Linked DNA regions of Schizosaccharomyces pombe. The protein of the gene in region 1 purifies or fractionates together with the protein of each later gene. This does not show direct contact. Each region holds a gene or a part of one and is shown in the gene's direction. Other genes may lie near its edges. The genes, in order: cid14, dbp2, nog2 and nog1.

What was found.
Region 2: the proteins of cid14 (region 1) and dbp2 purify together in Schizosaccharomyces pombe (affinity purification with western blotting; 2 studies listed by BioGRID, with this or other methods). This does not show direct contact.
Region 3: the proteins of cid14 (region 1) and nog2 purify together in Schizosaccharomyces pombe (affinity purification with western blotting; 2 studies listed by BioGRID, with this or other methods). This does not show direct contact.
Region 4: the proteins of cid14 (region 1) and nog1 purify together in Schizosaccharomyces pombe (affinity purification with western blotting; 2 studies listed by BioGRID, with this or other methods). This does not show direct contact.

What each region holds. Positions count from the first base shown.
Region 1 is NC_003424.3:319,119-324,909, forward strand, and holds cid14 (TRAMP complex poly(A) polymerase subunit Cid14), read left to right. Parts: upstream 1-2,686; 5' UTR 2,687-2,805; coding exon 2,806-4,860; 3' UTR 4,861-5,011; downstream 5,012-5,791. Other genes in the region: mRNA cleavage and polyadenylation specificity factor complex, WD repeat protein Pfs2, read left to right, coding at 856-2,385; gms2 (NST UDP-galactose transporter), read right to left, coding at 5,076-5,289, 5,344-5,791. UniProt on the Schizosaccharomyces pombe protein: Required for 3' polyadenylation of the 5.8S and 25S rRNAs as a prelude to their degradation in the exosome. Involved in the nucleolar organization to ensure faithful chromosome segregation during mitosis.
Region 2 is NC_003423.3:3,661,269-3,667,202, reverse strand, and holds dbp2 (ATP-dependent RNA helicase Dbp2), read left to right. Parts: upstream 1-1,844; 5' UTR 1,845-1,901; coding exon 1,902-1,969; exon of another isoform or gene 1,970-2,065; coding exon 2,066-3,297; exon of another isoform or gene 3,298-3,996; coding exon 3,997-4,349; 3' UTR 4,350-4,468; downstream 4,469-5,934. Other genes in the region: phosphomethylpyrimidine kinase Thi20, read left to right, coding at 1-1,335; mpe1 (RBBP6 family ubiquitin-protein ligase E3), read left to right, coding at 5,582-5,934. UniProt on the Schizosaccharomyces pombe protein: ATP-dependent RNA helicase involved nonsense-mediated mRNA decay and ribosome biogenesis through rRNA processing.
Region 3 is NC_003424.3:2,732,763-2,738,056, reverse strand, and holds nog2 (ribosome export GTPase), read left to right. Parts: upstream 1-1,848; 5' UTR 1,849-1,930; coding exon 1,931-2,725; exon of another isoform or gene 2,726-3,129; coding exon 3,130-3,948; 3' UTR 3,949-4,026; downstream 4,027-5,294. Other genes in the region: SPOM_SPAC6F6.04C (transporter), read left to right, coding at 1-1,381; F-box protein Pof5, read left to right, coding at 4,487-5,294. UniProt on the Schizosaccharomyces pombe protein: GTPase that associates with pre-60S ribosomal subunits in the nucleolus and is required for their nuclear export and maturation.
Region 4 is NC_003423.3:1,235,663-1,241,358, reverse strand, and holds nog1 (GTP-binding protein Nog1), read left to right. Parts: upstream 1-2,150; 5' UTR 2,151-2,182; coding exon 2,183-2,203; intron 2,204-2,258; coding exon 2,259-2,354; intron 2,355-2,443; coding exon 2,444-2,538; exon of another isoform or gene 2,539-2,758; coding exon 2,759-4,475; 3' UTR 4,476-4,688; downstream 4,689-5,696. Other genes in the region: nit1 (nitrilase superfamily protein), read right to left, coding at 125-261, 319-334, 395-829, 880-975, 1,028-1,174; RNA polymerase I transcription factor subunit Rrn11, read left to right, coding at 4,992-5,348, 5,463-5,696.

The sequences.
Region 1 (5,791 bases):
GAGCTTATTTCAAATTATCAGAGAGCAAGTGAATAAAGTAGGGTATTAATTACTAACCAATATTAAAAGAGAGACACAAATTGGTGTCTTTAGACAATAAAGATTTCTATGTAAAATATGCAGTGTCAATAATACGACTAAGCAGTTCAATTTCCTGAATTTTTACTCAGTTTTTGTTAAAAAATAAATTTCAAATGAATAAAACGAGCACATGTAGGTTGGATACTGCCATTAAAGTACGACTACAAATAAAATATTAAGCAATTTGAGAAACCTTATGTGGAACGTTAATCAAATGTTAAATAAGCAAAATTCATCTAAAAACAACAAATGGATATTATTTAGACATTAGTTTCATTTAATGTTATTACATTGTATAAATTAAACGTACTATTCTTTAACTGTCTAATCAAGCATGGATAGATGATCAAAGATATCATTACTGTATGTTTACTATGAACACTTGATCTAGGTGGATTAATTTATTTGGCGTGCCTAATTTGGAACGAAATTAATATCATCTTCAACATCCCACCGATTTACTTATACTAAATAAAAGAAGTCTTTGAACTAAATTAATAAAATTTTTTTCAATGTATTTTACAAGCACAATCGTTCCAAATATCATGTCAAAAGATACGATTGCGTATCCATACCTTTGGCCAAAGTCATACTAGCTCATTTTCCCAGCACGTAAAACGCGCCAAATATCTATATATTAGAATACCATACGAAAAACGGTAAAGTTTATACTACATTAGAAGGAACTTTAAGTTGGTTTTATTTAAATTAAAGATTGATTTTATTGCTGCTAAATAAGGAATTTCACATCTTTGGGGAATTGGTTAATTCATCATGGAAAGAGCTGAAAATGCTAGAATTATTCAAAAGCCTATGACTCGTAGGACTGTGGACTATGGATCAGGGCTATCAAAGTATATTGTCAATCGACATTTGCGTAGCAATCGCTATCACATACATGTACCGAGACCAAATCCGAATCAAATAATTAACTTGTATCCCCCTTATGAATACAAGTATAATAACACATCTTCCTTGTGCACCAAATATATTCATACGTCTGCAAATAAAGCTAGACATGTTATTAACGTTGTGCGCTGGACTCCAGATGGTCGAAGACTGTTGACAGGTTCTTCAACTGGTGAATTTACTCTGTGGAATGGTCTCACATTTAATTTTGAGTTAATTAATCAGAGTCATGATTATGCCGTTCGTTGTGCTGAATGGAGTACAGATGGGCGCTGGCTTATTTCCGGCGATGGAGGAGGCATGGTAAAGTATTTTGAACCGAATTTAAACAATGTCAAAATTGTTCAAGCTCATGAAATGGAAGTTAGAGATGTTGCCTTTTCACCCAATGATAGCAAATTTGTCACAGCGAGTGATGATGGTTCATTAAAAGTATGGAATTTCCATATGAGTACTGAAGAGCTGAAACTAACTGGTCATGGATGGGATGTAAAAACCGTCGATTGGCATCCTTCAAAAGGTCTCTTGGCTTCTGGTTCTAAAGACAATTTAGTGAAATTTTGGGATCCAAGAACCGGTACATGTATTGCGACTTTGCATGGTCATAAAAACACAATAATGCAAGCATCTTTTCAGAAAAATTTTGGATCAAATTATTTGGCTACAGTCTCTAGGGATAGCACTTGTCGAGTATTTGACTTACGTGCCATGAAGGACGTTCGAGTTTTACGTGGTCATGAAAAGGACGTAAACTGCGTAACATGGCATCCTCTTTATCCTAATTTGCTTACTACTGGTGGCTCCGATGGAAGTGTCAATCATTATTCACTTGATGAACCTCCATTACTTTCTCAGCAAAAGTATCATGAAAAGCATCCAAATGTTACTCTTTCCGCGTCTTCTTATTTACTATACCCTACTGCTGAAATTCCATTTGCTCATGATTTGGGTATTTGGAGTATGCAATATCATCCTCTTGGACATCTTTTATGTACAGGTTCAAATGATAAAACTACACGTTTTTGGTCAAGATCTCGCCCAGATGACAAGGAATCCACCATGGATCGCCATCATTTAGGTGAAGAACAGTCTGAGGCCATGCTAAGTCAGAGAAAAGCAGCGATCGAAGAAGACGATAATTATGAACCTGACGAAAACCCTCTCACCGAAACATTAGCAAATGCCCATAATCCCCAATTTTCTGGAGTACTTAATCTTCCGGGTTTAGGGACTATGCCCTCCTTTCCATCGCCTTATCAACATGGACAACCTCAAATTCCCGGTATGCTTCATGCATCTTTGAGCAATTCATACGCTGAGCCGTCAACTCAAAACTCTTTTATCCCAGGTCTCACCTCAAAGTCACAAGATGGGTATCCTCAAAACTATCGATAATACATTTCTTTGTTATTTGAAAAACATATTTACTTGGCATTAATTAGATTTAAAAAAAAAAAAATTCACACCGCAGCTCACTGGATTCATACTAAAAATTGGGTTTGGCAAAGCAAAACCTACACTAATTTTTTTTTTAATGATAACTAAGCAACAATTTACATTATACCATTCATACTCGACAAGCACTTCTATATCTCGCTCTCCATACAAGATGTTCCCCAAATTGAATTACCGAGTGTCAACGATTTTCGTAAATAAATCGTTAATAGTTAGGTATGCTACATTTAGTAAGTTGTTCACCACCAAATTTTCAAAGATCTTATGTGATTAATAATTGTGGTTCAATTAGTCATATATTGATTTTTATAAGAATTCTACAAGATAGGTATAGAAAACCATTCTATCCATGTCTTAGAGATGGGTAAAAAAAGCGTGTCATTTAACCGCAATAATTATAAAAAGCGTAAAAATGAGAGAACTGAACCACTTCCAAGGAGGATTTTTAAAAACGATAAACCGAGTAAATTTAAATCTAAAAGAAAGGAAAAGGATAAAAATTCAGACGCTTATGACGAAATGCTTCTGAATAACAATTTTACGCTTCTGGATCAAGAAGAACCCATGGTTGAAATTGGAAGTAAAAAATCACGTAATGATAATGATTCAGAAGGAATACGTGATAAAGGTGGAGTAGAAATTTCAAACAAAAACGATCCATATATTCAATTTGGAAAAGCCGATCCATTAGAGCCGCTGGAAAAACCTGATTTACCAGAGGAAGCAATAAAACGTGGTGAACCTACCATTCTTTTAGGTATACCAAAAAGAGAAGGTAGAAAAACTAACCCTGTACACGACAAGGCTGTCGAAAATAATTCTGATTTTATCAAGTTCGATTGGAACAGCGATGAAGACGAGGATAGTGTTAGTAATGATAAAAGCAAGAATAATGAGTCCTTAAAAAAGTCTTCTAAAAATGAGATCCCTGGCTTTATGCGTCAACGAGGCCGATTTTTTCATGAAGCAAATGAAAAATCGGATTCTAACCGTAAACGAAAACGCCAAGCGTATGAGCTTGATTCTCAATCATGCCCTTGGCACCGTCAGTATAAGGTAGAGCGAGAAGTCTCTAGAATTTTTCACCAAGACATTCTTCACTTTATTGACTATATTACTCCGACTCCTGAAGAGCATGCGGTTCGGAAGACGCTTGTTTCTCGTATAAATCAAGCTGTCTTGCAAAAATGGCCAGATGTATCACTTTATGTTTTTGGAAGTTTTGAAACCAAATTATATTTACCTACTTCAGACCTTGATCTTGTAATAATATCACCTGAGCATCATTATCGGGGTACAAAAAAAGATATGTTTGTTCTTGCTCATCATCTAAAGAAGCTAAAACTTGCTTCTGAAGTCCAGGTCATTACTACTGCTAACGTTCCAATCATCAAGTTCGTTGATCCGTTAACCAAAGTTCATGTTGACATATCTTTTAATCAACCTGGAGGTTTGAAGACATGTCTGGTAGTGAACGGTTTCATGAAAAAATACCCTGCTCTTAGGCCGTTAGTAATAATTATTAAACATTTTTTGAACATGCGAGCGCTAAACGAAGTCTTCTTGGGCGGATTAAGTAGCTATGCGATTGTTTGTTTGGTTGTTTCTTTTCTTCAATTACACCCTAGACTTAGTACAGGTTCTATGCGTGAAGAAGACAATTTTGGTGTTTTGCTGCTAGAGTTTTTGGAGTTGTACGGAAAACAATTTTATTATGATGCTGTCGGTATCGCTGTTCACAATGGTGGTTTTTATTTTTCAAAAAAGAAGATGGGTTGGCTGAAGCCAAACCAGCCTTATTTGCTTTCAATCCAAGATCCGGTAGATTTCCAAAATGATGTTTCTAAATCTAGTCGTGGATTATTACGCGTAAAGGCTACATTTGCAAATGGCTTTGATTTGCTAACTAGTAAATTATACGCACTCGCATCTCGTATAGAAAGAGAGGGTGTCAATCGAGTCAAAGATTTCCCTAGTATCCTAAGTACCATATTATCAGTTGATGAAGGGGTTCGTCAACATCGTGAGCATATGTTAAAATGTTATAAGAATAATCCAGTTCCTTTAGAACCTTTAGTGGAAGTGGATGCTTTAGCAAGTATTGATGTCGACAAGCTTCCATTGCAAGACGTTGGTTTGCAATATGTTGAGGATGAATCCGATTCAGACGAAACAGATGCTGCAAAGGATGATTTGTTTAAAGTAAATGAATCAATTGAAACCAACGGCCATGAAAATTTTCAGAAGCAAGCTTTGACATCTACGGGAGAGCAGTCCTCCTCTAATTCTCGAGCTAATCCCAGTAAATTATTTAACATAAGCAGTGACGATTCGGAAGACGAAGTACCTATTATTGAGGACACCACTGCTTCAGATGAAGAATCTCGAGCGAAAAAAATACGCAAACGTTTTTAGTTAATTTACATGTAAAATACCAGGTTATATAGAGGGATAAAAGGTTTTATTATCAATTATGATTATAGTTTGATAATTGTATTAATAAATTATCTTTATAGATTATACTTACGATTTAGCCAGTAAACTCGAATACCAGTAATAAATTAATCAACACCTTAAACTCACTATGGATCTGTAGTAATTTTGCATAAACGATGAAACTAGTTAAGAAATTACGATTCGGCGAGAGGAAATTTGATGATAGAATGGTAAGTAAATATGCCATAAATAAGAAGCACGAATCCCAAGAATTGAAGTAAATGGAATGACTCCATCCCCATTGCCATAGCAATAATCCAAATTCCGAATGTTCGAGCAATATCTAAAAGAGATCGGGTAGTAGCTGAGTGAAGTTTTGTAATGGCTAAGCCGGAAACGTTGAAAAAACTAAGGTTGGAACGTTAGTAAATACGAATGGTCAATTTTTTAACATGAACTTACGCAATAGATACCAAAATAACTCCAGAAATAACATAGAGTGCAGGGACTTCATTAAATCGAGATATAACGTGTGAATAGTCAAACCACCCGTGGTATCCAGCAGTAGTAGAACCGATAAAATAGTAAGAAATAATCATTCCTAAAAGGACAAAAAATACGCCATAAGTACCTTCATAAGCAACTAATTCTGAAGGGTCGACTTGAATAAACGAGAGTATGTATTCTTCAATTGTGAATTGTGTTGCTAAAAAAAACTGGCCGATTAAAACTGCAGTAATTCCTAAAATGGGATTTGAACCAATAGAAGAAGAGGATCCAGAATAACCAACAATTGCAACTCCTAAAACTACGAAACTCAGTGAGAGCCATTGCAATTGACCGATTGTTCTTTTTAGTAAAGTCGTAGCGAACAAGGCAACGAAAATAATAAGCGAACCCCTAGTCATTT
Region 2 (5,934 bases), on another chromosome or scaffold:
ATAAGTGCTTGCCTGTTAGATGTTCACTGTGAAGTCATGAAGACTGGAATGCTGTTCAATCAGCAAATTTTAAAAGTTATTGTTGAATCAATAGATAGGTTTAAAATCAAAAAAGTCGTTGTTGATCCCCTTATTGCGACCCGGAAGGGTGCTTTACTAGTCATGCCCGACTACTTAGAACTATTTGTTAAAGAGCTTATTCCGCGAGCAGAAGTGCTTATTCCAAACATAGCAGAAGCCTTAATAATACTGAAGCATATGACTAACGAATTCGTTGAAATTCATCATTTAGAGGACGTTAAAGCCGTGGGTAAAAAGTTAATAAAGGCAGGTTGTAAAAATGTGGTTATACGTTGCGACGATATACCGTTCGCATCTGATTTTTTTTGCTCACGCGAAACAAATATGCCTCCTACTTGGTATTTATATGTCCTTTGTACTAGTGAGGGTGAAGTGTTGCTTCCTCAAAAATGGCTTGCCTCCAAAACGGCTCGTGGCACCAGCTGTGCATTATCTTCAGCAGTAGCTTCCAATCTTGCAATTGGGTTAGACCTTGTAACTGCAACACAGAACGCAGTATCCTACACTCAGCGAGCATTAGAAATGAGCTTTCATCTGGGTCGTGGTGCCAATTCCTTGGATTATGCTTCTGCCTTGACGCGACTTCCTTATGAAAAGGGAGAATTCATCAACTTTGTTCGCTATCATCCTTCTATAACCCCTAAATGGCTAAGCATTGTTAACCATCCATTCGTTGAGCAGTTAAAAGCTGGTACACTTTCTCGTTTGCCTTTCCAAAAGTATTTGGTTCTAAAATATCATATGTTAATTAATAATGCTCAAGCAGCAGGAATGATGGCTTTTTCGTCATCTAGTATTTCTGCTATCGAACACAGTGCTAAAATTATTCAGGCTATTAAGGAAGAAAATGTGACTCATCTTAGAATTTGCGAGCAATACGGTTTATCTGCAAGTCAAATAACAAAGAGCAAACCAGAAATTGTTAAGTCTCATTCTTTGTTCATACACGATACTGCTCAACAGGATGGGCTGCGAGGAATCCAAATTGCTATGCTTCCTTTTGTATTTATGATTCAAGAAGTTGTTTCTCAAATCTCCGCTTCAGATGGTTATCCTTATGTTGCTTGGGTTGAACACTGCAAAGACAAATCAGCTACTTCTCATATTGAGACTCTTTTGGAAAGTTTAGAGACTAATTCTCAAATTATATCTCTTTCCAAAGTACAGCATTTACTTGGCATTTTGGAAAAAAGTTTGGATTTTGAGCGGCTAGTCTTGGACACATCTTCGAGTAACGAATCATCTGTGTTTTAATTGACGCCGTTCTACCTTGCAAAAAAAAAATAATTGAAAATCAATATTTAGGACTTTTGGTTTTTTTTCTATCCATAGAATTGATTGTTTTTAGCTCTTTAGAATAAAGTTTGAACATTTTTATTAGCCTTTGTAATATATGTTTGTATATAGATTATATAAGTAAATAAATAACTTCGTGTTAATTTTCATTTATTTATTTCCTTTTTTTTTTTTAAATTTGTTTTATTTAATGCGACAGTATCAACTATCAAACAACGATTGTTATTGAAGCTTATGAAAATAGTGTTGGATTACCTTAACAGTTAGCCGGGCAGCACTTCTTACTCTTGAGATAGTAATATTATAAAATATCCAAAAATCTCATTTCAAAAACATAAAATAATATTTTACATTTTTTTAAATTATTCGGAGTATATTTTCTTGAAGTTAATTGCTACTATTATCTGACTGAAAATTTTTATTTTGCAATCTACTATATAAGGCGCCTTACCGCCTGTTAATTAAGCAAACCGTTTACCATAAACCACCACATCTCTTCAGTTTTATAGTAAAAAGAAATCATAATGTCTTACAGAGATAACGAATATAGTGGAAATTACAATGGAAAAGAGGATGGCTATAACAGCAGAGGGTAAGAATTCACAATTGGGCGTGCCCCTGTTCAGTACAAAATTATTGATACTGATTTACCTTTTTTTTTAAAATAATTAATATTAACATTTTACAGTCGTTATGGTGGCGGATACCGCAATAACTATAGTCGTGGCGGCGGTCGTGGAGGTTTCAATGATGGCGCTTCTTATGGCTACGATCAACGAGGACAAGGAAGAAATTTTTACGAGTCAGATGGTCCCGGTGCTAATTTGGTAAAGAAGGATTGGAAAAATGAAACTTTGATTCCGTTTCAAAAAGATTTTTATAAAGAACATGAAAATGTTCGCAATCGTTCAGACGCTGAAGTCACCGAATACCGTAAAGAAAAAGAAATTGTCGTGCATGGATTAAATGTTCCTAAACCTGTTACGACATTTGAAGAGGCTGGTTTTCCTAACTATGTACTAAAGGAAGTCAAACAATTGGGGTTCGAAGCTCCTACTCCTATCCAACAACAAGCATGGCCGATGGCTATGTCTGGTAGAGATATGGTAGGCATTTCAGCTACGGGTTCTGGTAAGACACTTTCTTATTGTCTTCCTGCTATCGTACATATTAATGCCCAACCACTACTTTCTCCAGGCGATGGTCCAATTGTACTCGTTCTTGCTCCAACGCGTGAATTAGCTGTCCAAATTCAGCAAGAATGTACTAAATTTGGCAAATCATCCCGAATTCGCAACACATGTGTGTATGGTGGTGTCCCTCGTGGTCCACAAATTCGTGACCTAATTCGCGGTGTCGAAATTTGCATTGCAACACCTGGTCGTTTATTGGATATGTTAGACTCTAACAAAACCAACTTACGTCGTGTGACCTATTTAGTGCTGGATGAAGCCGACCGAATGCTTGATATGGGTTTTGAACCTCAAATTAGAAAGATTGTTGATCAAATTCGACCAGACCGTCAAACTGTCATGTTTTCTGCAACATGGCCAAAAGAAGTTCAACGTCTTGCTCGTGACTATTTGAATGACTACATTCAAGTAACTGTCGGCTCTTTGGATTTGGCAGCTTCTCATAACATTAAGCAAATCGTAGAAGTTGTTGACAATGCTGATAAAAGAGCTCGTCTTGGAAAGGATATCGAAGAGGTTTTGAAGGATAGGGATAACAAAGTTCTTATTTTTACAGGCACAAAACGTGTTGCTGATGACATTACTCGCTTCCTTAGGCAAGATGGTTGGCCTGCCCTTGCCATTCATGGTGATAAAGCTCAAGACGAGCGTGACTGGGTACTCAATGAGTTCCGTACTGGCAAGTCTCCGATTATGGTTGCTACTGATGTTGCTTCTAGAGGAATAGGTAAGTTTTTATTTAACAGTTTTTTCCTTTTCGCAGGCTTTTTTATTTGACGTTATACTTTCACCGGCGTTCTCAATGTCTCTTTTGATAATAAAAGATGGACTGGCGATCAACACCATTTTAGCTTGAATTTTGCAAGTTTGTGTTGCTTTGATGAATATTTTTGTTTACGCCCAGTCTTAAGGAAAGTAGAAAATTCGGATGATTGTTTAGCCTGTTTCTTACAGGCACGAATGGTGTTACAAAGAGAAACTGATGATTTCTATTTCATGATCTTGGCCTTTTCAATAGTAGTCGAGATACGTGTGGTCTGCTACCTGTTAAATTTGTTGTCAACGTTTCCGCGATCTATGTAACCATTTGATTTGCGGTCAATTTAAAAGGTTTTTAAACGCTTATTCTATTCAGCCTTCAAACCAACTTGACTCATTGTTTACTTTTAGACCACATTAAATGATTTAAAACATAGTTTTTCTGTACTGTTTCCTCCTTTTCTTTACTTTCTTTTGTCTTTTGTCTTTCTTTCATTGTGAACTTATTGCTGTTCGGTACCATTGCTAAAATGTTTATGCAGTGTTGTTGACCTAACTTGTCAAATTTAAAGAAGCTTAAAGTTGTTGATATATTGGATAAATCCATGAAACATATATCTCGAAGCTTAAAGTCAAAACCCTCTTGGGCATTACTAACTTTTTATAGATGTTAAGGGTATTACACATGTCTTTAACTATGATTTCCCTGGAAATACGGAAGACTACGTTCATAGAATTGGACGTACTGGTCGTGCTGGAGCTAAAGGTACCGCATATACCTATTTCACTTCGGATAATGCTAAGCAAGCTCGTGAACTTGTTTCCATTCTCTCTGAAGCCAAGCAGGACATTGATCCTAAGCTTGAGGAAATGGCCCGCTATTCAAGCGGTGGTCGTGGTGGTAACTACCGCCGTGGCGGCTATGGTCGTGGTGGTTTCCGTCGTGGAGGAGGTTATGGAAACCGTAATAGGGGTTTTACCGGAAGTAATTCTGCCCCCCTTGCGCGTTCACGTTGGTGATCAACAATCCGCGTATTTTGAAATATAAGTAAAATTAGATTAATCGGTTGGATATATAAGGTAATTTTGAGGTTTACAAGGGTTAATAAAAATATGATTTTATTTAATTTACCGGCTTAGTTAAATTTTGAAGTAGTTTTTTCTGTTCAGTAACCGCTTTCGTAGATTTGTGAAATCTAACGTAGTTATAACGGTAGCAATCAATTATATTAAAAAAGTACTGAAAATTAAACAGGTGTTTTGAGTGTGTATATTGGCTAAGCTGACATTTACGATGGCTTTATTAATTGTGTGGCGCTTGACAACTTTGGATAACGCATTTTAAAGAAGCATATTGCATTATGTTGAAGTGCATTAGCATGACATATATGTTTGATGTGTGAGCAAATTCTCTTCTTCTACCAACCATCTAATCGGAATTTGATCTAACGACTGATCGATTTGTTTGACCAAAGACATAAATAGCTAAAGCATTTGAGTATTCAGTCTTTCCGACTAAGTTTTAATACAAGATTTATTTATATTGGGTGACTTAAAAGAAATAAAAAAGTTTTTTTTTTCATTATCATAAGAATTAAGAGCGAAGAGGCTTGAAAGTCCTGTACATTGAGTTGTTTAAATTCAAAACTCTAATAAAAGAATAAGCTGAAAAAAATAGCCCTACTAAATAACAGCTTTTGATTAGAAAGGTTTTTGTTGAATATTCTCGTTCTAATTAATAAGCAATTTTTATAATAAAAAGTTTAGCAGCCAACGTTCGTACTTCAGGGTAGGAACCTTTCTATATTTGCAAGTGCTAATTGCATTCCCTGTCTTTCCCTTATTACCGAAAGATCCGCGAGCTTTGCAGAGGTGGTTGGCTTTTGTAGTTTGTTCCCGAGTAGAACACCTTGGTGATTTCGATTCCTCTCTTTGAGTACGTTGACGACAAAGCACTCCTCTAATTATAAATATCCATTCAAAATTACCTATTTGCCGTTCCGTTGAAGTAAGTATCTGGACGAGTAAGCAAGAATAGCTTCCTTTGAATTTTTGAAACCTCTGTTAACCAAATAATTTTAGTTTTTTTTTTTTTTTTTTAAAACATTTATCTCATAGTTTTACAACTAACGACTCTTTTATTTCTTTTTTTTTGTTGGACTCTTTAGACGTTCGTTCTATTCAAAAAACCTGTTCGTGTTTCTTAAAAAGTGAAATTAAGTCATTTCTGATAGTCAATTACTATTTTTTCGATGTCTGGTGTAATTTATTACAAGTTCAAGTCTCAAAAGGATCCGTCAAGGATTACTTTCGATGGAACCATTGGAATGTCTGTTTTTGACGTTAAAAGAGAAATCATTATGCAGAAAAAGCTAGGAAATGGATTAGATTTTGATTTGTTGCTTTATAATGCTAATTCTAATGAAGAGTATGATGATGACACTTTTATAATTCCTCGTTCTACTTCTGTCATTGTCCGTCGAGTACCTGCACAAAAATCCGGAAAAGGAACTGCTGCTCGCTATGTCAGTGGCGCTCCTAAGACAACCGGTGCTCGATCTGATTCTGTCAAACGACCTGTCCCAATGCTTCAGAAAAAGGCACC
Region 3 (5,294 bases), 2.4 Mb from region 1:
TGCTTCTTGCATCTTGTTTTGCTGCCCTGGTATCTATTTAGCAGTAACTGGGTTAGGTGCAGGTGGTGGCCATCCTGATGCATATCATATGGCTGATGTTACGAACTCACTCTTGTATGCTTTGTTTACCGTTTGCGGTTGGGCGGGAGGACCGATTCTTAAGTACCTGGGTCCTCGCTGGGCACTTGCCTTGGGCGCTACAGGTTATCCTATATACATTGGCGGACTATGGTATTTTGATAACACTGGAAAGCAAGGATTCACCATTTTTACTGGTGCCTATGAAGGCATTGCTGCTGGATTATTATGGGCATCAACAGCATACATTAGCTTATCTTACTCTTGTGCAAATCAAAAATCCCAATTCATTGCTACTCAATGGACGATCTTGGCTTTTGGTAGTACAGTGGGCTCGTTTATAGCTTTTGGTATTAATTATCACTCAACGAGCACTGGCGTACCTATGGCAGTCTACATCATCTTCATAATCATTATGGCTTGTGCCGTTTTATTAGCCATTCTCTTTATAAAAAGCCCATCTGATGTACGAAAATCAGATGGGACGTCTGCACTTTCTCCCAGTAATAAGACGTTCGGTCAAGAACTTTGGGGATTGTTTGAAGCAGCAAAGGATTGGAGACTACTTTGTCTGCTTCCTGCATCCTTTGCTTCACAAAGTACAATTGCATGGCAGTCGCACTTAAACTCCTACTATTTCTCCCTTCGTACTCGGTCTCTAAACAATGTGTTATTTTGGGTGATTCAATTTTTCGTCCCTTACTTGTTCACTTTAATTTTAGATGCAAAAGCATTAAAAAGAAGGACACGTGGTATTATTGGATTAACTATTCAAGCTGTGGTAATCATGGCTACTCTTTCTGGTGAATTGGGTTGGATTGTTTCTAAGCACATTGATTTACACGATACATCCCCTGATCTTGACTGGACTCAACGAGGTTACGGAGGTGCTCTGGTTCTATATTTACTAATGGGTATTCAATATGGTTCTTCCATTGTCTCTGTACAGTGGTGTATCTCACTTCTCTCTAGTGATCCCGACAAGTATGCACGTTACGCTGGACTGTACAAAGGAACCCAAGCAGCCGGAATGTGTGTTTCTTTTGGTATAGACGCAGCTGGAGTCTCATTTCTTGGACAAGGAATTATATATTTTATTTTTTTATTCGTGATGTGTGCATCTCAACTCATAATGACTTCGATATTCGGTAAGGAAACCGATAGATTATCAACGAAAGAACACTTCACTGATGATAAATCATACATCGATGGAGTCATGCCTTCAACTGATACGTACATGAATGAGAAAACTTCCGATGAGCTGGACAAGAAGTCGCTGCCAAGCGACCAGGTCTACGTTTAAAGATTTTATTTTTTAAGAATTATTAAATCATTTTATCCTTTTCATAAAATTTCACTGATATCTTGATGCTTATCATATTGTGTTCAAATCCTCTTAATTTAGAAGTATGGTATATTCAATGAATTCTGTGACTTAAAAGTTTTTAATTTTGGTTATTTGAGAACATACTTTTTTCATTGCTTTCTTTAAGTTTTATTGATCAAAATGTCAATAATACATACATTTCACCATCTGTAAGACATTTGTTTTGGCGTTTTTAGACTAAAGTTATAGTACATTTTCCATTCCAAGTGAAAAACCATATAGGATTTTTCTTTGAGATTAAAGAAACAATATCCAAAGTTTTCCTTTATTAACTTAGGAATTTAGCTACATTTTACTAACAAATGTGAATAGTAAACAAATGTTACCCAGCATATGTTACCTGTGCTTATGACTTGAAAATTTCGCTTTCTTACTTACACTCTACCTATCACCAACCGCATCAATTTGGCGTGGTTGTTAGGGCCTTGTTTTTGTTCTTTTTCTTTTTTGGAGTAATCAAAAAAAATGGGCACCTATAAGAAAGAGAAAAGCAGAATCGGACGTGAAGGTGCTAATGAGAAGAAGCCTGGCAACCTTCGTGTCAAAGGTGAAAATTTTTACCGAAATGCCAAGGATGTTGCTCGAGTTAACATGTATCGAGGAGGCAAGGCGAAATATAACGCTGCTGGTGAATTAGTCCGTGCTGCTGAATTTCAGTCTAGCGAGGTTCCTAAAGCTCGAATTCAGCCTGATCGACGATGGTTCAACAATACCAGAGTTATTGCTCAACCAACTCTCACCCAATTTCGAGAGGCTATGGGTCAAAAGTTAAACGATCCTTATCAAGTTTTATTACGAAGGAACAAACTTCCTATGTCTCTCCTACAAGAGAACACTGAAATTCCAAAAGTTCGTGTTTTAGAGTCAGAGCCTTTTGAAAACACTTTTGGCCCTAAATCTCAAAGAAAACGCCCCAAGATCTCATTCGATTCTGTGGCTGAATTGGCTAAAGAGTCTGACGAAAAACAGAACGCTTACGAAGAGAAAATTGAAGAGCGTATATTGGCTAATCCCGATGAGTCTGATGATGTTATGCTTGCTGCTCGTGATGCGATTTTTAGCAAAGGACAATCTAAACGTATTTGGAATGAGCTTTACAAAGTTATTGATTCTAGCGATGTTTTAATCCAAGTGCTTGATGCGCGTGATCCTGTAGGTACTCGTTGTGGAACCGTAGAGCGCTATTTAAGGAACGAAGCTTCTCATAAGCATATGATTTTGGTTTTGAACAAAGTTGATCTTGTTCCTACCTCTGTTGCTGTAAGTCATTTTTGTTTTTAAAATCTATTTGCATTGTTTTTGATACATGGAAAGATCAAGCTATATGCATCTGTTATGCATTAGTTCTATTTAATTGCTGGAATAGTATTCAGTATGCCCATTGTTAAGTCAAGACTCTTTTGTATGCTTTTCAGCATATTTCCCGTCAATTGAAGTCTGTTACAACTCTGGGAGAGTATACAAACTGTCTCTAAATTATATAGCCGTTCTGGCTATATCAGAGATAGTTGTATTGTCTTTGCTTTAATTTCGGTGTTTCAAGCAGTATATCGCTGCATATAGTTGTCACACTTACAAATGTAAAGACTTACATTGTTTTCATGTATCAACGAACAACCAGATATATCTTTATTAACCAATGTTCTTTTTTCTAACTTTTTTAGGCCGCCTGGGTTAAAATATTGGCTAAAGAGTACCCAACCATTGCTTTCCATGCATCTATAAATAATTCCTTTGGTAAAGGGTCCCTTATTCAGATTCTTCGTCAATTTGCGTCTTTACATTCTGACAAAAAACAAATTTCTGTTGGGTTAATTGGTTTTCCGAATGCCGGAAAATCAAGCATCATCAATACTTTAAGGAAGAAAAAAGTTTGTAATGTTGCTCCCATTCCTGGAGAAACGAAAGTTTGGCAATATGTTGCACTCATGAAACGAATTTTTTTAATCGACTGTCCTGGTATAGTCCCACCCAGTTCCAACGACTCTGATGCAGAGCTTTTATTGAAAGGTGTAGTCCGAGTTGAAAACGTGAGTAATCCAGAAGCATATATTCCTACTGTACTCAGTCGTTGTAAAGTGAAGCATCTTGAGAGAACATATGAAATATCTGGTTGGAATGATTCGACTGAATTTCTTGCTAAACTTGCGAAGAAGGGAGGCCGTTTGCTCAAAGGAGGTGAACCTGATGAAGCTTCGGTTGCTAAAATGGTATTGAATGATTTTATGCGCGGTAAAATCCCTTGGTTTATTGGACCTAAAGGCCTTTCCTCATCAAACGATGAAATCAATTCTTCGCAAAAAGTCGCTACTCAGCAAACTGAAGGTTCTGATCAGGATGGAGAAGAAGCAGAAGAAGAATGGCATGGAATTTCTGATGATGGTAAAGCTGATGAGTCTGAAAGTACTAAACCAGTAGCCGAGGGAAGTGCTTCTGAGTCTACAGATGAAAGTGCTGTTGATGATAATAAGAATAGGAGTTAATTGGGGGGTTTGGTTTAATTTATCATTTTTATGGTTGGTCTTTGTATATTAATAATAATATTGGTTTACTAAATATAATGTGATATGTATAAGAGTTGCTATTGTTCTATAGAATTCTACCTGATGTATTGTAAACGGTTTGTTAGATACAATACTTTTGCAAATTGTTCATCAATATCTTGCGTCAAATCTTTTTTTTTAATTTAAGCGTGGTACTGATTCTGCTTGTTCTTCTCACATGAAGTGTTACCATTTACCACCATTTTATGTATCGAGCAATGCAAATTACTAGTCATATAAGGTTATTTGGCAGTTACCGTTTAAATTATTTGTAAGTTTAGATATTTAAAAAAAAAAAAATTGTTTGAAGATACCAAGTTATCACTCAATTATTTGGCGTCGAAGACTGAGGTTTTGCTACTGCCTAACACCATTGTCAGTACATTAGGACAAGGTTATTGCCAAAATTTTAATCGAAAGCTTATACACTTAAATTAACTTTTGGGAGTAATGATATCTAGTTTGGCCTTACCGAAAGATGCAGTCGTTTCCTCCTGAAATATGGCATCACATATTCGATCATTTAATAAGTTTTGACAAGTTTGAAGCAAAAAATTTTGGGGGCTTGCTAAGGATTTGTCGTTCATCATATGTTGGAGGCCTACATGCTATTTATTATTTTCCAAAGCTTAATCCCCGTAATTATCATAAGTTTGTTGACACGATTAGCCGTAAACCTACAAGAAAATTAGTGCATCACATTAGTTTAAACAATGTTTCATATGCATCAAAAGCTTCTATAACATCCCGTCTATTGAGAAGGTGCGCTACGAATTTAGAAACATTTTCAGGTCCGCAGTCAGGACTTGGTTTTACGGCCTTAAGAGCATTCTCTCAATGCCAAAAATTAAAAAAGATAGACCTGTCTATCCTTTCTGAAAAAATTGATTTACAATATCTATTTGGGGGTATTCAGCATCTCAAGCATCTTGAGTATATCATATTACCCTATCTTTCAATTCCTGCTCCTATGTGTACTGAATGCTGGCCAAGCTCTCTTACCTTTGTGGGCTTTTCTGGTGGCCTTACTGATGACTTTTTGGCTGAGTCTGTTTTTCCCCCATCTTTAAAAAGTATAAACATCACACAATGTCCGCTATTGACCGATGCAGGCATTTTCTCTTTGCTTTCAAAAATAGGACCTAATTTGTCTTCAGTCTGTGTGCAATACCCAATGCCCGAATTGTCTCGGAGCGGCTTAGATTGCATTTTTCAGTTATGTCCCAACGCTACAACTATTAGCATTCCTGCTAATTACATTACCTCTACCGCCTTTGAGAGCATTC
Region 4 (5,696 bases), on another chromosome or scaffold:
ATTTTCATAGTATTCAGGCTTTAATCTTGCAAATCCGTAAGTAATAATGAATACTTCGTAAACAAGCCGAAAAAAAATTTTCTCTTTAATTTAAATTGAAATCACCTCAGTTTGTATAACAGTGCTAAATGGTCGGGTATAAATCGTTTCTACGTAATAGTGGAATATAAGTTCGTACATGGTCAACAAGATTCAAATCAAGGTCAGCAAAAATGAGGCCATTCGGAGAAGAGATATCACTGTATTGAGCAATAACAGTACCTAGATGCATTAGAATTTCAAGTTATTTTACCTAATAAAATTGTCAAAATGACATACCCCAAGGGTCAACAATCTAAAAATTTTAATTAGCAAGAATTCTTAAACAGACAGGTGAAACTTGAAGACGACATACCATGGAATGACCATAACTAGCACGCTTCTCGTTATGCTTTCCACCTTGCGCAGGAGCTATAACATAACACTGAGAGTCCAAAGCGCGAGCTCTCAACAGCACTTCCCAATGAGCAGCTCCGGTCTTTTCAGTAAAAGCACTAGGGTATGTGATAATGTGAGCACCCATGTTTCTAAGCTTTATAGCTTGTTCTGGGAAGCGGATGTCAAAACAAATTGCAGAACCAACTTTGCCTAGAGGGGTTTTACAAGGTGGGAGAATAGCTTCACCACGAAGTGTAGTATTCGACTCTTTTAAAGTTGGTCCATTTTTAATTTCAACATCAAAAAGATGAGCTTTGCTGTAACGGCTAATGATTTCACCATGAAGAGGCTCGATAAACAGGCTACTGTTTAGTAGCTTGTTTTTAACCTTAGATGGTTCGTGCACGCATATCTATAAAGACAAGTTTGTTACTATCAAAGTAGTTAAACATTAGTACGTACGTTTACGAAGATTGAATGTTTGGTAGCTGACTCTCGAACGTCCCGAATAAACTTGCTACAGTCAGGATGATTTGTAAGTTCAATAGCCTCATCACTCTGTATGTCAGAGATATTAGTAAAGTTGGTAAAGTATGCAAAAGTGTCGTACATTATGAGCTATAAAGTCAGAAGCCTCAGGGAAGAATATGCATTTCGCACCTTTGGCGGCTGCTTGACTTATCAATTCTTTACATATGGCTAAGTTTTTTAGAATAGAACCACTTGAGTTAAGCTGAGCTACTGCTGCCAATGTCATGATGGTACAAAAATGGATGAATGGGACCCTGCGTTTACAAGGTTTAGTTTGTCGTTGAGTAAAGCTGGCATTGCAATACAAGATGTATTATACTGTCAAAATGATAGGATTTTTGTTAAATAGAGCGAAAGTCGCAAATTTGTGAAAAGTAATGTCTAAAGGAAATTTAAAAAAATGATAAATTATGCTTTATGTAACTATACGATATGTTGATTTAGGCATCAATATGAAGGATGGGCATACAGTATGTTCAATTGAACTATTTCGCTCTCCTAAGAAAGATTCTTTAAGTCATTAACTAAATACTAGAACCAAAGAAAATAGATGCTAACTTTTTCAAATAAAATGCGAACAAAATTATTAAATACATGGAGCCTATCAACAAGTAGGGTATCTTCGAAATTTCCTTTAAAGCTAATAGAATCAAGAAAATGAAAGTGCTATAACATAAGTTCTGCTAATCTACATACATCTACTTCAGTCAACATTCTGTTGTTCAAATCAATCTATGCATTTTATTCTTCGTATTTGCAGTGTAGGAATGTAAATCGTTTTGTTCACAACATGATTTTAAGAAAGTGAAAAAAGTTTAAGTAGCATTCTAATAAATACTGATTTCTTGGATTTTGTTTTATGAAATTTTGCTATCACTTTTCATCCATTCGGACACCAGATCAAACTACCCAATATTCTTGAAAAGAAAATTAAGATTATAATAACGGGATTTTTGAAGTATGAAATGTAGATTAAAACATTGAATAAAATTTGTCACAAACCGTAGATATTCGATTCATAATGCCTGCCTATAAACTTGCTTTGTTTACCTTCTATTGCGTTTCTTTGCGTTATACGATTTATCAATGTCAAACAAAAATTCGTTAACAGAAGGTGACTGTTCTACCTATACGATTCGAACCTTCGTCCATTATCAATGCTAGCTGGATAACTACTGCGTGAACGGTGAAAAATTGTCTTTGACATTTGCCATCTACCAAACTTTTCTACTCCATGGCAACGGCAGTGTTCAAGGTATTTTAATTTCTAAAATTGAAAGTTTGTATCATTCTTATTAACATTGATGCAGAATATTACTCCAATTCCGGATGTGAACACGTTCTTGGACGTGGTCCTTTCTCGGACTCAAAGAAAAACACCTACCGTTATTCGATCAGGGTTTAAGGTATGTAAACATTTTCAGTTCAATTATCGTATTAGAGTGGTTGCATTGGAATTCTAGATTTGCGAATCATCTACTAACGAAAATATTAGATCTCTCGTATTAGAGGTTTTTATGGACGAAAAGTAAAATTTACTCAAGATACAATTACTGAAAAGCTGGATTCGATTTTACAGGAATTCCCTAAGTAAGTATTTGCCAAAGAAATGGATGCCTGCAGTCACTGTTAAAGAATGAGAAATGATGCTTTAACGTGTTTGGTGTGAATTCTTATGTGCACAGTATTCTTAACACTGTGTTACTCCTATTGATTTTTTAAGTGTTTAATTGTGTTGGAATTCTCAGCAGCATCGTGAATCTTTCCTTATTTCCATATCACTATCTATGGTTCACTAACAATTTCTTAGACTTAACGATATTCATCCTTTTCATGCTGACCTTTTGAACATTCTTTACGATCGCGATCACCTTAAAATCGCTCTTTCACAGCTCTCGACAGCCAAACATTTAGTAGAAAATGTCGCTCGTGATTATATCCGTTTGCTCAAGTATGGTGATAGCTTATACCGCTGCAAACAGCTCAAGCGTGCCGCTTTGGGACGCATGGCAACGATCATTAAAAGGCAAAAGTCATCCCTCGAATTTCTTGAGCAAGTCAGACAGCACTTGTCTCGTTTGCCAGCAATTGATCCAAATACACGAACCTTATTGGTTTGCGGCTATCCCAACGTTGGTAAATCCTCATTCATGAACAAGGTTACTCGTGCTCAAGTTGATGTTCAGCCTTATGCTTTTACCACTAAATCTCTATTTGTCGGTCATTTTGATTATAAATATTTGAGATGGCAAGTGATTGATACTCCTGGTATTCTGGACCACCCTTTAGAGCAAATGAACACCATTGAAATGCAATCTATTACTGCAATGGCTCATCTTCGATCTGCGGTTTTATATTTCATGGATCTCTCGGAAATGTGCGGTTACAGTGTTGCTGCACAGGTTAAATTATATCATAGCATTAAACCCCTTTTTGCCAACAAGGTTACTATTTTGGTTCTCAACAAGATTGACGCCATGAGGCCTGAGGATTTGGATCAAAAAAATCAAGAGCTTCTTCAAACCATCATTGACGACGGTAATGTTAAGGTGGTTCAAACTAGCTGTGTTCAAGATATCGGTGTTATGGATGTACGTACTACCGCTTGTGAAGCCCTTTTGGCTGCTCGTGTCGAACAAAAACTTAAGGGCTCAAGGGTTAACAATGTTCTTAATCGCATTCATCTTGCTGAGCCTGCTGCTCGTGATGAGGTTGCACGACCAGCTTGCATTCCTGATTCTGTTAAAACTCGCCGTGCATATGATGCAAATGATCCAAATCGCCGTATACTTGCTCGTGATATTGAAGCTGCAAACGGAGGTGCTGGTGTCTATAATGTTGAATTGCGTGACAAGTATATTCTTCAAGACCCTAGCTGGAAATATGACCGTATGCCTGAATTATTGGACGGTAAGAATGTGGCTGATTTCGTTGATCCTGAAATTGAAGCGAAGTTATTAGCCTTGGACGAAGAAGAAGAACGTCTTGAGCGTGAAGGATATTATGATTCTGACCAAGAAATTGAGGATGCCGATGAGGAAGAGGTTCTTGAAAAAGCAAGTAGAATTCGTGAGAAAAACAAGCTGACTATGTTGGCTGCTCGCCAGAAGAAAATTAAAAATCGTCCTGTACTTCCCCGTACCGCTGGCATTCGTACTTTAGACGAACTACAATCTTCCTTACAATCTGCTGGGCTTCCCTCAGATTCTATTGAAGAGCGGGCACGCTCCCGTGCACGTACTGCAGCAGCAAACGAAATGGCTGATGGTTCAGGTGTTGACTTGTTAATGAATGAAGGTGAAGAAATTCGCTCTAAATCTATTGCCCCACGTTCACAAAGCAACCGTCGCGAATCTGGTGTTCACGCAGAAGGTGCCAGATCTTACGCTGATCGCCTGGCTCGTGTCAAACAGATACACCGTAACCGCATGGCCAGGGCTTCTGAAAGTGATCGACATGTTATTGCTGCCAAGCCTAAACATTTGCTTAGCGGTAAACGTGGTAACGGTAAAACTCAAAGAAGGTAGAATAATGGTTTTGGACTTGGGGTTCTTTTTTTATATAAAACTTTAATATTTGGTTGGTTATTTGGGTTTGGATAATATGGGTGGACTTGCAAGACTTTCTACCTACATCCCTTTTTGTTTCTTCACATAAATTACTTTTGTTGGAGGATGTTGTCCATTAGGAAAGAAATTTAATATATTTCAAAGCTTTTGCTTAATGTACTTTCAGTTGACAATTGAAGCAGTTAATTATGTAGCCGTGCATAACAACACCTGTAGTTTTTGGCTGTAAATTTTATGCTGAGTAAATAGATGAAAGTAAAAAGAATGAGTAATTAAAATCTAAAGTTAATCAATAGCTAAGGTTGATCGTTGTTGAACAGAGAGGCAACTGTCGTGCTCAAGTGCTAACTGCTTTAAGATGCCAAAAACCATACCCTTGCAATTAGCAAAATAATGCTAGATTAAAAGGTTATAGTTAGATCAACTATGCTTTGTTTAAATAAGTAATACTTATAGCTTGATTCTGTTATAATCATGTTCTCTCCTTGTACCGTTAAAGAAAAACGTTCAACTTTGCGAAGTGTCGCTCCCAACCCGGAATCTTCTGTTATACCTCCAATTCCTTTACCATCAAGAAGGTATAAAACAAGACATATTGATGCACTTTGTTCGTTGATGCACCTTTGCTTATTGCGCAAAGATTACCCAAGGGCATCTAGGGCTTTTTCATTACTGTTGAGATCTAAGAGTGTTGACATTTCCAAATTATGGAACATTGGACTTGAAATTTTGAACAAAGTTAATCCAGAAGCTTCATCAGAGTATATGGAGCGACTAATAGCTCGATATCCTGCGCGTCCATCCATTAACAACTCTTATCCGAATCGTAATGTAAGTGTATACTGGTACAAAACGTCTATACTTTCATCTTTTCGTGTATTGAATTTTTTGTCCCTTCTTATTTGAAATCAATCATATGTCGCAATTCTATACTAACATTTACAGGCAGAACATTTTTTTCCAGCATATATCATGCTACTTATTCAGCGCCAAGAATACAATAAAGCTATGAAGTTGCTTGATGAGTATTTGCTGTTACCACCCTACAATCAGAATCCTGCATTGCATGAGTATTCCGGAATGTTGTGTTTTGAACTTGCCAAGGAGGAAGCTTCAGAATCTGAGCGAACTAAATGGATTGAAAAGGCGAAATACAACTTTTCAAACGCAGGAATTGAC